Bombyx mori: one gene and its partners. The protein of the gene in region 3 purifies or fractionates together with the protein of the main gene of each other region. This does not show direct contact. Links are inferred from orthologs where the notes say so. Each region holds a gene or a part of one and is shown on either strand. Other genes may lie near its edges. The genes, in order: pre-mRNA-processing factor 19, cleavage and polyadenylation specificity factor subunit 6 and U2 small nuclear ribonucleoprotein auxiliary factor 2.

Region 1 (2,852 bases), on a different chromosome or scaffold from region 3:
TTCCAATCCATGATGAAGGTGCGCTACACAGTAGACGTCACGTACTATGAAAATGGCGAAACGTCCGTTACCTTCGCAATCGTGGGCACAAATGGTCACACGAATGTGTGGGAGACTTCGCGAAGGATCGCAGTTCGCGCGCTTTGATGTCCTTTAAAAACCGACACAGCTTCGAAAACCACGAATGCAGCGAAAACTTTGCATAATACTTTGCAAATGTCGTCCTACACTTGTGGGTTTGCGTATTCGTGCGAATGTGAGTGACCGGTATAATAGTCATAACAGTATTTGTATAATTTGTACTTTGTTCTGTTGAAACAATAAACACAATAAAAGCACTTAACATTAGCGGCTCAGGAACGAGTAGAGTAGTTGCTGAACACACACTGATTGTTCAATTATTATTTTTCATTGAAAACATAATTGAACTTTTTTTTTTTTCAGGCAATCATGATTGCTGCTGATATAATTTAGGTGAGGTTTGCAAGAGCATGAGTGATGGATGCGTTGAACCCCAATGTAAGGAAACAGAAATAATATCTGAAGATTTTAATTCCAGTTATTACATTTTAATTTGAAATGCACATTTTACAGCAATTAAAAAGCGAGCCATCCATCTAAACTTATATCTATTCTTATTCTATCCCGTAAAGTTTGAGCGTCCGGTCCATGCTGGTGGAAGCGAGATACTGTGCGTTCTTTCCGAACCTGACACCGGTGGCCGAAGCAGTGTGATCATTGAACACCTTCAATTCCTGCCACTGTCTGCACAAGTAGACCCTCACATCAGTACCGGCTATGGCTAAATATGTACCGCTTTGGTCGAAACACAACTCTTTGATAGCATAGTTTTCTTCCAACTGAATGGTCTTAAAGTTCTTTAGTTTTCTCAAATCCCATAATTTAACGCATGAGTCTTCAGCAGCTGTGGCTAAATAGTACCCATTCTCCGAGAAGGAAATGGAAGTAACTGGTCCTACGTGACCAGGGAAATTGGCTACATTGCTTTGCTCCTTTAGATCCCAAATCTTCACTTGTGAGTTTTCCGTTCCAGTACCAAAAATGAGACCGTCCGGATGGAATTGTGCAGTTGTGAGACTCACTCCAGAAAAGTCACTGACTTTTGTCAGAAGTTGTCCGGTGCGAATGTCTGAGAACGCCCAGTGTTGGTCTGAAGAGGTTGAGAGTACATAGTCTCCGGTTGGATGCAGGGACAGGCCGGTCACTGGACCGTCGTGAGAACGTAGTATTGCCGTTGTTTGAGATCTGAAACAATTTCAAGATAAATAAATAACGTAATAGTTATTTGATTTTACTTAGTTGAATGAAATTATTTTGAATATTTTAATGTAAGCACCTAGCTGTTGATTTACAATGGTTGATTAAGAAGCTAATTCCCAAGACAGATTAAAAAATCCATTATTGCCTATTCCCAGTAGTAAATAAAAATAATAAAAAAAATCACAGATTTCCTTTATGTAATGAACATGACCTTTGATTTTTTTACATTTACGGAGTTTAGGTAAATAAGCAAAATTTTCTCCATATCATTCTTTTGGTATCTCCATACTCACGTTGGCACATTCCAAACCCGTATGGTATGATCTGGTGAGGCTGTGATGACCGTATCTTCATCCGGATGGTATATAACCCTGGTGACTTTCTTGGTGTGACCTTTGAGAATGGCCACAACTTGTTCAGTATCCTTATTAAAGACTGTTGCGTTACGATCGTTTCCTCCAGTCAAAAGTTTACTGTGATCGGATGGATTGATGTCCAGAGATAGGATACCAGGAACACTGGCTGAATGAAGACCCTGAAAATAACATAGATGATATAAAAAAATTAAAATACTTAACCATTATCAAAGTATGTCAGCCCTACTTTTAGATAATTGTAGTGCATGACTGAAGTCCCTTCTAGAAGTGTGTTGGATCACAATATAGTAGTAAATATGCAATTTTACAAATTCTGTACATTTTATTTGCGATTTCACGGCCCAACTGGTGTAAGTGGTCACTGGAGCATGGGATATCACAACATGAATGGTGCCAACCCACACAAACATATGAGGTCTAAGTCTTAGTTTTATAGTAGAAAGAGTGTCCCACACTTCCAATTGATACCCATTAATTCATGGTGAAGTCAGTTGGGTCGTGTTACAATAAGTGCGACCACCACGATAATGTTATCCCTTAATCCAATTAATTCCTGTACATATGTTAGGACACTTAAGTGTTTTCTTAGAAAAATTGGTACCTGTTAGGAAACTTTCACCTCAGCATAGTCAATATGAGTACACTGAGTGTTTTAGCATTTCACCACCCACACTTATATTTGTGACCCCCTATTATAATTTCTAGAGGTAACTATTGTTTACTTATTTCGAAAGGCTATTATTGCACAGCGCTAGATACATACAGGATGCGATGCGAGAGTGAGGAATGCTCTGATCTGCTCTGGTGCCAGCAGTCCCTCGGGCAGGGTGCGGCCTCGGCGCTTCCGTTCCTGCGTGAGTGCGGTGGCGCGCTCCTGCAGACGAGACACCACGTCCGCAGACATGCCTGTTGCTCCCGCACTGCCTGCTGACGCCTCCGTCTGGACAAAATAATTAATTTAAAATGATGCATCTAAAATCAGTGACACATTAGGGTAGCTACTTGTCTATACTGGTGGTCCCGCAGTAGTCGAAATTCGACTATAATTAATTGAAATTATACGTTTGAACATTATTATGATTCTATTGTCAAAGACTATTTATTATACTTCTATAATCACAGATTTCGCCAAGACTAGACCATAGACAAATAATATTAAACATAAACAATATGAACCTATTCAAATTTTACTAC
Region 2 (3,763 bases), on a different chromosome or scaffold from region 3:
TTTCTATTACCATGAAGGAGTTACTAACTAAATACAACCAATTTCATTACAAACCTTTTCTTTACCATTTATTAATGCATTGCTAGATTTCAAAATTCACCTACCATTAATTAATCGGTAAATGCTCTAAATCCGTAACTCAAACTGTATCACCATGTGTGATTGTAAATAGCTCTGATATTCAATTGTCCTTTCGGAATTTCTCAACTTCATTAAGAAAATAAAATTCTAGTGAATGTCACATACATTTCAAAGTTTAAGTGGAAAATAGTGATCTAATTTGACATGTAAAGCTCGTGATATTTTTATGAAAATTTCAGTTTCACCTCAACAGATCGTAATTGTACAAGCCTTTAAAAACAAAAACAAGTCATTTCTTCATCATGAAGTAAAAAATAAAGAAAATTCTGGTTTTTGCTTTTTTCTTAGCAGAATTTAACTGCAAGTTCATGACTTTGAACATGAAGTTCCAAGTTAAATTTTACTAAAACACAAAAATCCGTAACTCACAGCATATCAACCATTTGTATAATTTTCTTATACTTACCATCATCAACAACAAAAATATAATTTTAATAAAGTGATATTTAATGATAACAATTAGCAACCAAATAATGTACTAATTTATTAAGGGCTTTTCCATGGAATTGTACCAGTATCAAATCCAAACTTTTTTTTATTTTTTAGTTTTCCCAAAAATATTTTATTTGAACTATATATTATAATTATTAATATATGTATTTGAAGACTGGTATTTTAAAACATCTTAGGATACATTGATCAAGTACATAATTATAGCACTAACAGTATTTTTATACTGAAACCGGATGATTTTTCAAGTTTTAAAGTTAAACATACAATTTCCTGCTTAATCTCATAACAGTTGTAATGACAGGTCTCGCGCTTACTTATTATATTTATTCACTTATAGTTTCTGATTATGTATTTCGCAAAGTTTATCATTATATTACTAATCCTATGTTTAAACAATTGAAAACAAATTTAACAATTTTTAAATCAATTTAACAAGTACCTCATTGTTACAGTTTTTTCCAGGTTTATTGATAATTTAAACTAACAATTGTTTTTTTTAACTTATAATTATTTAAGACTGAGAGCCGTACACACCTTTATCTACTACTAGTTATGGACAGACTAAATTCCCGTGAAACATTAAAGCACACATTTGTTTGATATTTGTACATAATACAATTTCATGGAAAAACACTTGTTTTCTATCAAAATTTAGCTCTTCACCAATATAGATTGACTGTGCCTTTTTTTGTAAAATAATTATAAATAAATACAGTATTTTCTTGGTATTATTAGTTTAACACATAATATAAGATATAGGTTGCTTTTTGTTTCATTAATTCAGTACAACAAACATTTATCTATGTGATCAGTAAAACTTAATGTGCAGTGATTTTGTGAATTTAAATTTTAAACATAATTTGTTAACATTTGTATAAAAGATAAATGTGTGTTGCAAAATTAAAAGTAGATCCTAACAAATATTAAAAATTAAATATTTCGTAACTCATTTTACACAACAGATCCATTTGGTTGCTGTTGCTTGAGTTGTCATCTGAACAGGTTTTTAAGTTCTCCACATTCTGTTTTTAAACGTACATACTACTTTAATATTTCTATAAATATATTATTTACAAGTACGTTGTTTTATTATAACTATCATAGTTTCATAGATCTGTTACTATAAAACTGTTAGCTATTATTTACTATATTTTATGTATTATACACAATAATAAATGTATGTACTTCATATTTTGTTTTATTGAAGTTAACATGCCATCATAATAACAATTATTGAGCTTGAACTAAACGCAAAAAACTATTTAATCTAGCTTTATGCTAACCAAAAACCATTTTTTTTAAATAACTTTATGAACGATAGCTCAAATTCAATTGCATGTGCTATTTTTATCATGGCATGGCGGCTAATAGATGCAAATCAATAATTATTGATAGTATGAAGCCCTGAAAGACGAGATGACAACTCAAAAGATATCAGTTTTTCAGTACAACGCAAAAACTAATATCGTACTTATATTTACAAATAGTCTAGGACAAAAAAGTACGAACCCATGTTAGGTTGCCGACGTAAAGTTGAAAACGGCGGCCATGATGTCCGTGAACCGGGCCGTGGTATGAGGCGTTGCCGTTAGTTTCCTCAGGTGGATGCTGGTTTGGAGCAATGATGGGAGGACCGTCACCGTCCTCGGGCTTCGAAGCTGGTGCTGAGATCACGTCGTCATATAAATCCACATTTTCGCCAGCAAATTCATCCTGTAAAATGCCGCCATTCATCGTGACAAAAATAGATTAACAACTGTTACGATTTCTCTATAAGAGTTATCTGTAAGGTTTAGGTGTACTGAATTAGGAGAGTGTAAATTTTACCTGGCGATTAAAATCGGATTCTATATCATCGGCGTACAAATCTATATCGACATCGCCGTCCGCCATTTTACGAAGTTGTGAAAAAATGCTACCTCCTACTTACGACCCCATGAAATTTTTTTTTTAAGAGATTTTATGACCTGGTAACTAAGACCTTTAAGTCATGTCTTATTTTACTTTATTTTCTTAATTTTATGAAAAATGATAATATGGAGTGAAATGAAATGAAGATGATTAATTTGAGACATTAATCAACTGGGATGAAATTTAATGAAATGAGATGATATGGGATGAAATATAATCGCAGTAAAATGGTGGTCATTTACTGAGATTTTTTTAGTGGACTTTTTGGAGGAACCCGAGAAGTTACGTCCAGCAGCTTTGTTTCATTTTCCCACATTTGTGCACTTTCACAGATATTAAACAGTTAATAAACCACCATTATTACACATTTAAACCTGAAGAAACACTAAATAGACAAAATAAAACAAATCACACAACTTCACTCCTCGCGTTCCCGCCAAAAAGTCCCGACCCCATGAATTTGGGTCAATGTTGCCAAGCTAACACAATATTTTCGAATTCCCACGTAAAATGGTCGTGTTGAAAATGTTTTCAAAATTATTTTGGGCACATTTTTAGTGTACAAAAAAAAAAAAAAACAAAAATTATGTACATTAAACAACTATTATTTTTTAGGTTTAAGGCTTAAAAAATTATATTAGCTACATATAAGTAATAGTTGAAGGTTTAAAATTGAAAATAACTATTACTTTTGTTACTTATGAAACTGATTTAGCCTATACCGATACAAAAAAAAGTAAAGTAAAAGTTTAAAAGAATATGAATAGTAGCCAACTACACTTTTAAAAACACGTACGGGGGAGGCCATAAGAGAAAACTCTCGGCAAATTGTCTTTCGCATTTGATCAGTAAGTAAAGTAAGCACTGGTTTTTGCCACCCAATGAGCAATGATCTGAAACTGACGTAGAATAAGAGTGTTAAAAATACAAACATGTTTGATGATATTTCTGGCGATCTTATATATTATTATAGACAAAATTACTCAATTACAAAAAAGTCAACTTGATCAAGGTGTTCTATATTTGATATGTATAATTTGTATCCTACGGACGATAATTGTAGTAGTTATTGGAAACGTTGCTTGAAACTCTATTAATACATTAAAACCTTTCATAGCATACCTATATGTTCATAAAACTGGTGTAAATCTGGATTGAAGTAAATGTTCAATTTGGGCACCAGTCATCAGCTATTGAAAAAGGTATCATTTCTTGATAATTTTTTAACCAAAATAGGTAGGTAACAGGATAAAAACCA
Region 3 (3,763 bases):
TGGCCTTAACTATGCAAAAGCCAATAAATTAATAAATTGGGTGACATAATGATTATTTACCTGATCTGTCATAGAAATGTCGACATATTCAGCAAAAGCATAGCCTTTGCTCAACCCAGTTGAAGAGTCTTTCACCAAATTGAAGGCCCGGAGTTGACCAAATGACATGAGTAATTCCTTTACCTGTTTCATGACAAAATTAGTGAGCAAATAATAATCTTTTAATTCCCAGCATTGTATTAATTTACGTTACATATTCATAATGATCAGCATAGACATTTCTAATGCTAATGTTTTTTGTATTGTATGTTTGAATTGTTGTGTTCCCATTAAATCTGTTCATCAAAATGCAGCAAATTACATAAGTGAATTATGCTATCTGACCTGTGTCTAGCCGCATGTTAGAATCAGATGTGAATGGAAGAGACTTGCCTTGAAGTGCCGATGTCTCGTTCAAGTACAAGACGTATAGATGAGAATGAGAGACAACAGTGACACGCGGGCCGCGAATGTGCCAAATCTAAGCTAGGGAGGGCAGAAAGCAAACTATATCAGTGAGTTGTTTGAGAACATCCGAGCGTGGTACGCACACGCTCGTCCACGCTACGGGTACCTGAAAATACCTGAAACGGACCAAAACATAACGCGGCTCACTGCTGGCGTCACCGGGGCCTAAGTCCTGTCAACTGTTGAATCTCGGCCTGAAATTGTTGCGGCATCTAGTACGCTATAACTACCTACTGGGAACGAACAAACTCATGGTTCTTTTAATGTCCTAACATTACCTAAAGTAGGATTTTGAAATAACTATTATAGTCCAAAATACTTGAATTTGTCGATCTAAGAGAATTCTATGTTTATCATAACCAACATAATTATTATTTCCATTTTGTCTGGTCAAAACCTGTAACACACAACTCTACAAATCACAATGAGAGAAGAATGTTGTATAATATAACCATTTTTTTATTATCAAAAGGTTTCTTTTAGTGGGAAACATAAATCAACCATAATTTATGTGAATTGAGTTTTCATTTGGTTTAAAAATAAAAACTTTTTGGTAAGTAGTACTTATAAATAATAGCTTAATTTGATCACATCAAAAATACAGAAAATAAGTACCTCTACTTTAATCCAAAAACCATGTGTAGCTTTAAAAAACTCCAAACTTGATTTTGATCATGATGTGATTAAATTATGGTTTCTTGAATGCTTAATTTCAACTATAAATTTTAATAGATAAAACAAGGAACTTACTTGGTCCTCATTTAGATAATTAGGCAATCCCCCTATAAAGATCTTGTGTGGGGAATCAGGTACAACAGTGCTAATAACACCAGCTGTAACAAAATAATATTTGAATGAAGACACTAGTAATGAGTATTTTAGTTGTAATTAATGCTGTTTCAAGAGTTTAAAAAGAGCTGTAGAATTATAACAACAAAATTCAGTTTATTTTAAATATTGCATTTTCTTAATAAAAAATAGCACTTTCAATCGAGTTCAAGACTCATTACTTGATAGATAAATCTATAGTATCTTCTAATGTAGTTTAAATGTATTTTTATAAGAAAAGTTGTTTGTAATAACAATATCACAATATCATAATTACTTACCAGGCACATTTATTGCTGGGTTTTCAGTGCCTGGCATAGGCTGGTAGTCATGTGGACGTCGAATCTTTAAGCTTTGCCCTTTAAAATTAATACCGTCAAAAGCCATTGCCTGTGTCGTTTCATCAATTGATCTGAATTCAAGGAATGCAAAATTTTTATCTAAATTAATCTGGCAAGCCAAAACAGGGTTGCCGGCGGCCTGGGCCAGGCCCGATAGATGCATTTGTTGATTGAAAAACTCCATTGTTTCTTCTTCGGTGACGCCAAAGGGTATGTTGCCGACATATAACCTTCGCGCTTGACGTGTTATAGTCGAACCCACCACCGGCACGGCAGCTTGTGGTGTGTCGGCGACAATATTGGCAGGAATCTGACCCGCCGCTTGCATCGCCTTGTATTGTAATGGCGTGATATGCTCGAATCCCGGCGGCGGTACATCCCAGTAAAGCGAAGGCTTACGTCTACGTGAACGTTTATTGGGCGATCTTGATCTGCTTTTTCTTTTTTCTCTTCGTTCTCTAGATCGAGATCTAGAACGTTTTCTTTCTCGGGATCGAGACCTTCGTCGGCGGTCTGTAATATTTGTGAGCATTTTATTTTATAACCTCACTTCAAAACTTTACAAGATAGATATGTGAACTACTTACCTTTATCTTCCCCCATCTTATTTACGGAAATATGTAATACAGTAACTATTTCTTGAGATAGTAATAAAGGCGCTTCAGCGTTATTAGTATAATTAGCGTTGGCATCAACATAAAATCTAAGTCAGTTTCCGTGAAATGGCGTCTGTTATTTTTTTATACGGACGTTGGTTACTCGACTTTTGGCTAATGATGCTATAGTGAATTTCCTGATACGTAATCATCACTAAAATCCTATGCTTGCCCTAGGACAAATTTCGGACGCGAACGCAGAACTGGTGTTTCCTCAAGTATAAATGTGTAATAATGATAGCTAATTAATCATTGATGTGCCTTTGGAAAACATACAGCATTGTATTATGAAGAAGCAGTGTGTACTTAGCTTAGATTCCTTGTCTATGTCCAACCATAGACAGTCAATTTAGTTCCATCTTTAGCCGCTAGGTGCTGCCAGCAAGTATAAAGGGAGCGCAGCCATCTTTGATCTTCATAGCGTTGTGTACTTTCGTACTGTGAAGTCGCAAGTCCACAAATATTTATTCGACTTCTTATTAATTGCAAAAAATATTTATTTTGTGTTTCTATGAGTGTTATTTTGCAATCATTACGAGTATTATTTACCAATCCTATCATCGGACGCCATGAATCACGCGTCATCTGTTGGAGGTGATGTTGAGTCAAGCTCCATAATTTCCGAGAGGGAAGATGTCCAGGCGAGACGCGATGGAGACGCCTCGCGTTCGAACAGCTCGTCAAGCGAAAAAGAACAAAAGGAGTCTCTGCGTAAGAAACGACGGGATTCAAAGGTAACGGTCGATCTTCGAATCGGCTCGTTATCCCACCAGGTCAGTGACGTTGTAAATCTAATAATGCATCAACTGTGTGTAACAATTGAATGTAACGAAAATTGTTGTAAACAAATTGATCTCGTCAATACGGAAATTTTGACAAAAACACAACAGATTTAAACTAATAATCTTTGTAACATAATTACTGAAAACTTTGACAAATCGTCTCCGTCGTACAAGTTACCCGTAAAAAGCGTTTTAAATTGTATACGGAAAAAAGGGCCGTATGTATAGAAATAAGACGTCAAAGTTTAATTTCCGTGGTCTCTAACAAAGTATCCTGTTGCCAACGCGCCACTCATTGAGGAATTTTTGTTTGATAATAGTAAATTGAAATCTATTCAGTCCCTCGGAGGGCTACAATCCTATTTGTCACGATCTCGTACAAAAGGTAAGCCAAACATTATAAACAATCATAGTCCGTAACATCTGGCACAATCCAGAGGGGGGCAATTGAAGACACCGACGGCACTGAGGCACTGAGTGCCACCAAAATTGTAATAATTTGTAAACCATGTATGGTTACCAAATACCGTAAAAAAAAAAAAAAAAACAACAAAAAAAAAAAAAAAAAAAAAAAAAAAACTACCTTTTTCTGCGGAAGAAAAGCGACGGATCAATGCGTCCAATTTTCGATCTTCGAGAGTTGAACAAG

Evidence for each region.
Region 1: the proteins of U2 small nuclear ribonucleoprotein auxiliary factor 2 (region 3) and pre-mRNA-processing factor 19 purify together in Homo sapiens (affinity purification with western blotting; 3 studies listed by BioGRID, with this or other methods). This does not show direct contact. The link is inferred for Bombyx mori from reciprocal best matches to the Homo sapiens genes U2AF2 and PRPF19.
Region 2: the proteins of U2 small nuclear ribonucleoprotein auxiliary factor 2 (region 3) and cleavage and polyadenylation specificity factor subunit 6 fractionate together in Homo sapiens (co-fractionation; 3 studies listed by BioGRID, with this or other methods). This does not show direct contact. The link is inferred for Bombyx mori from reciprocal best matches to the Homo sapiens genes U2AF2 and CPSF6.

Annotation. Positions count from the first base shown.
Region 1 is NC_085116.1:17,083,816-17,086,667, reverse strand, and holds the end of pre-mRNA-processing factor 19, read right to left. Parts: intron 2,599-2,852; coding exon 2,422-2,598; intron 1,817-2,421; coding exon 1,575-1,816; intron 1,267-1,574; coding exon 636-1,266; 3' UTR 535-635; downstream 1-534. UniProt on the Homo sapiens protein: Ubiquitin-protein ligase which is a core component of several complexes mainly involved pre-mRNA splicing and DNA repair. Required for pre-mRNA splicing as component of the spliceosome.
Region 2 is NC_085120.1:8,928,695-8,932,457, forward strand, and holds the start of cleavage and polyadenylation specificity factor subunit 6, read right to left. Parts: upstream 2,582-3,763; 5' UTR 2,488-2,581; coding exon 2,422-2,487; intron 2,308-2,421; coding exon 2,104-2,307; intron 1-2,103. UniProt on the Homo sapiens protein: Component of the cleavage factor Im (CFIm) complex that functions as an activator of the pre-mRNA 3'-end cleavage and polyadenylation processing required for the maturation of pre-mRNA into functional mRNAs.
Region 3 is NC_085123.1:10,727,612-10,731,374, reverse strand, and holds the start of U2 small nuclear ribonucleoprotein auxiliary factor 2, read right to left. Parts: upstream 2,405-3,763; 5' UTR 2,280-2,404; coding exon 2,264-2,279; intron 2,190-2,263; coding exon 1,617-2,189; intron 1,341-1,616; coding exon 1,258-1,340; intron 184-1,257; coding exon 61-183; intron 1-60. UniProt on the Homo sapiens protein: Plays a role in pre-mRNA splicing and 3'-end processing. By recruiting PRPF19 and the PRP19C/Prp19 complex/NTC/Nineteen complex to the RNA polymerase II C-terminal domain (CTD), and thereby pre-mRNA, may couple transcription to splicing.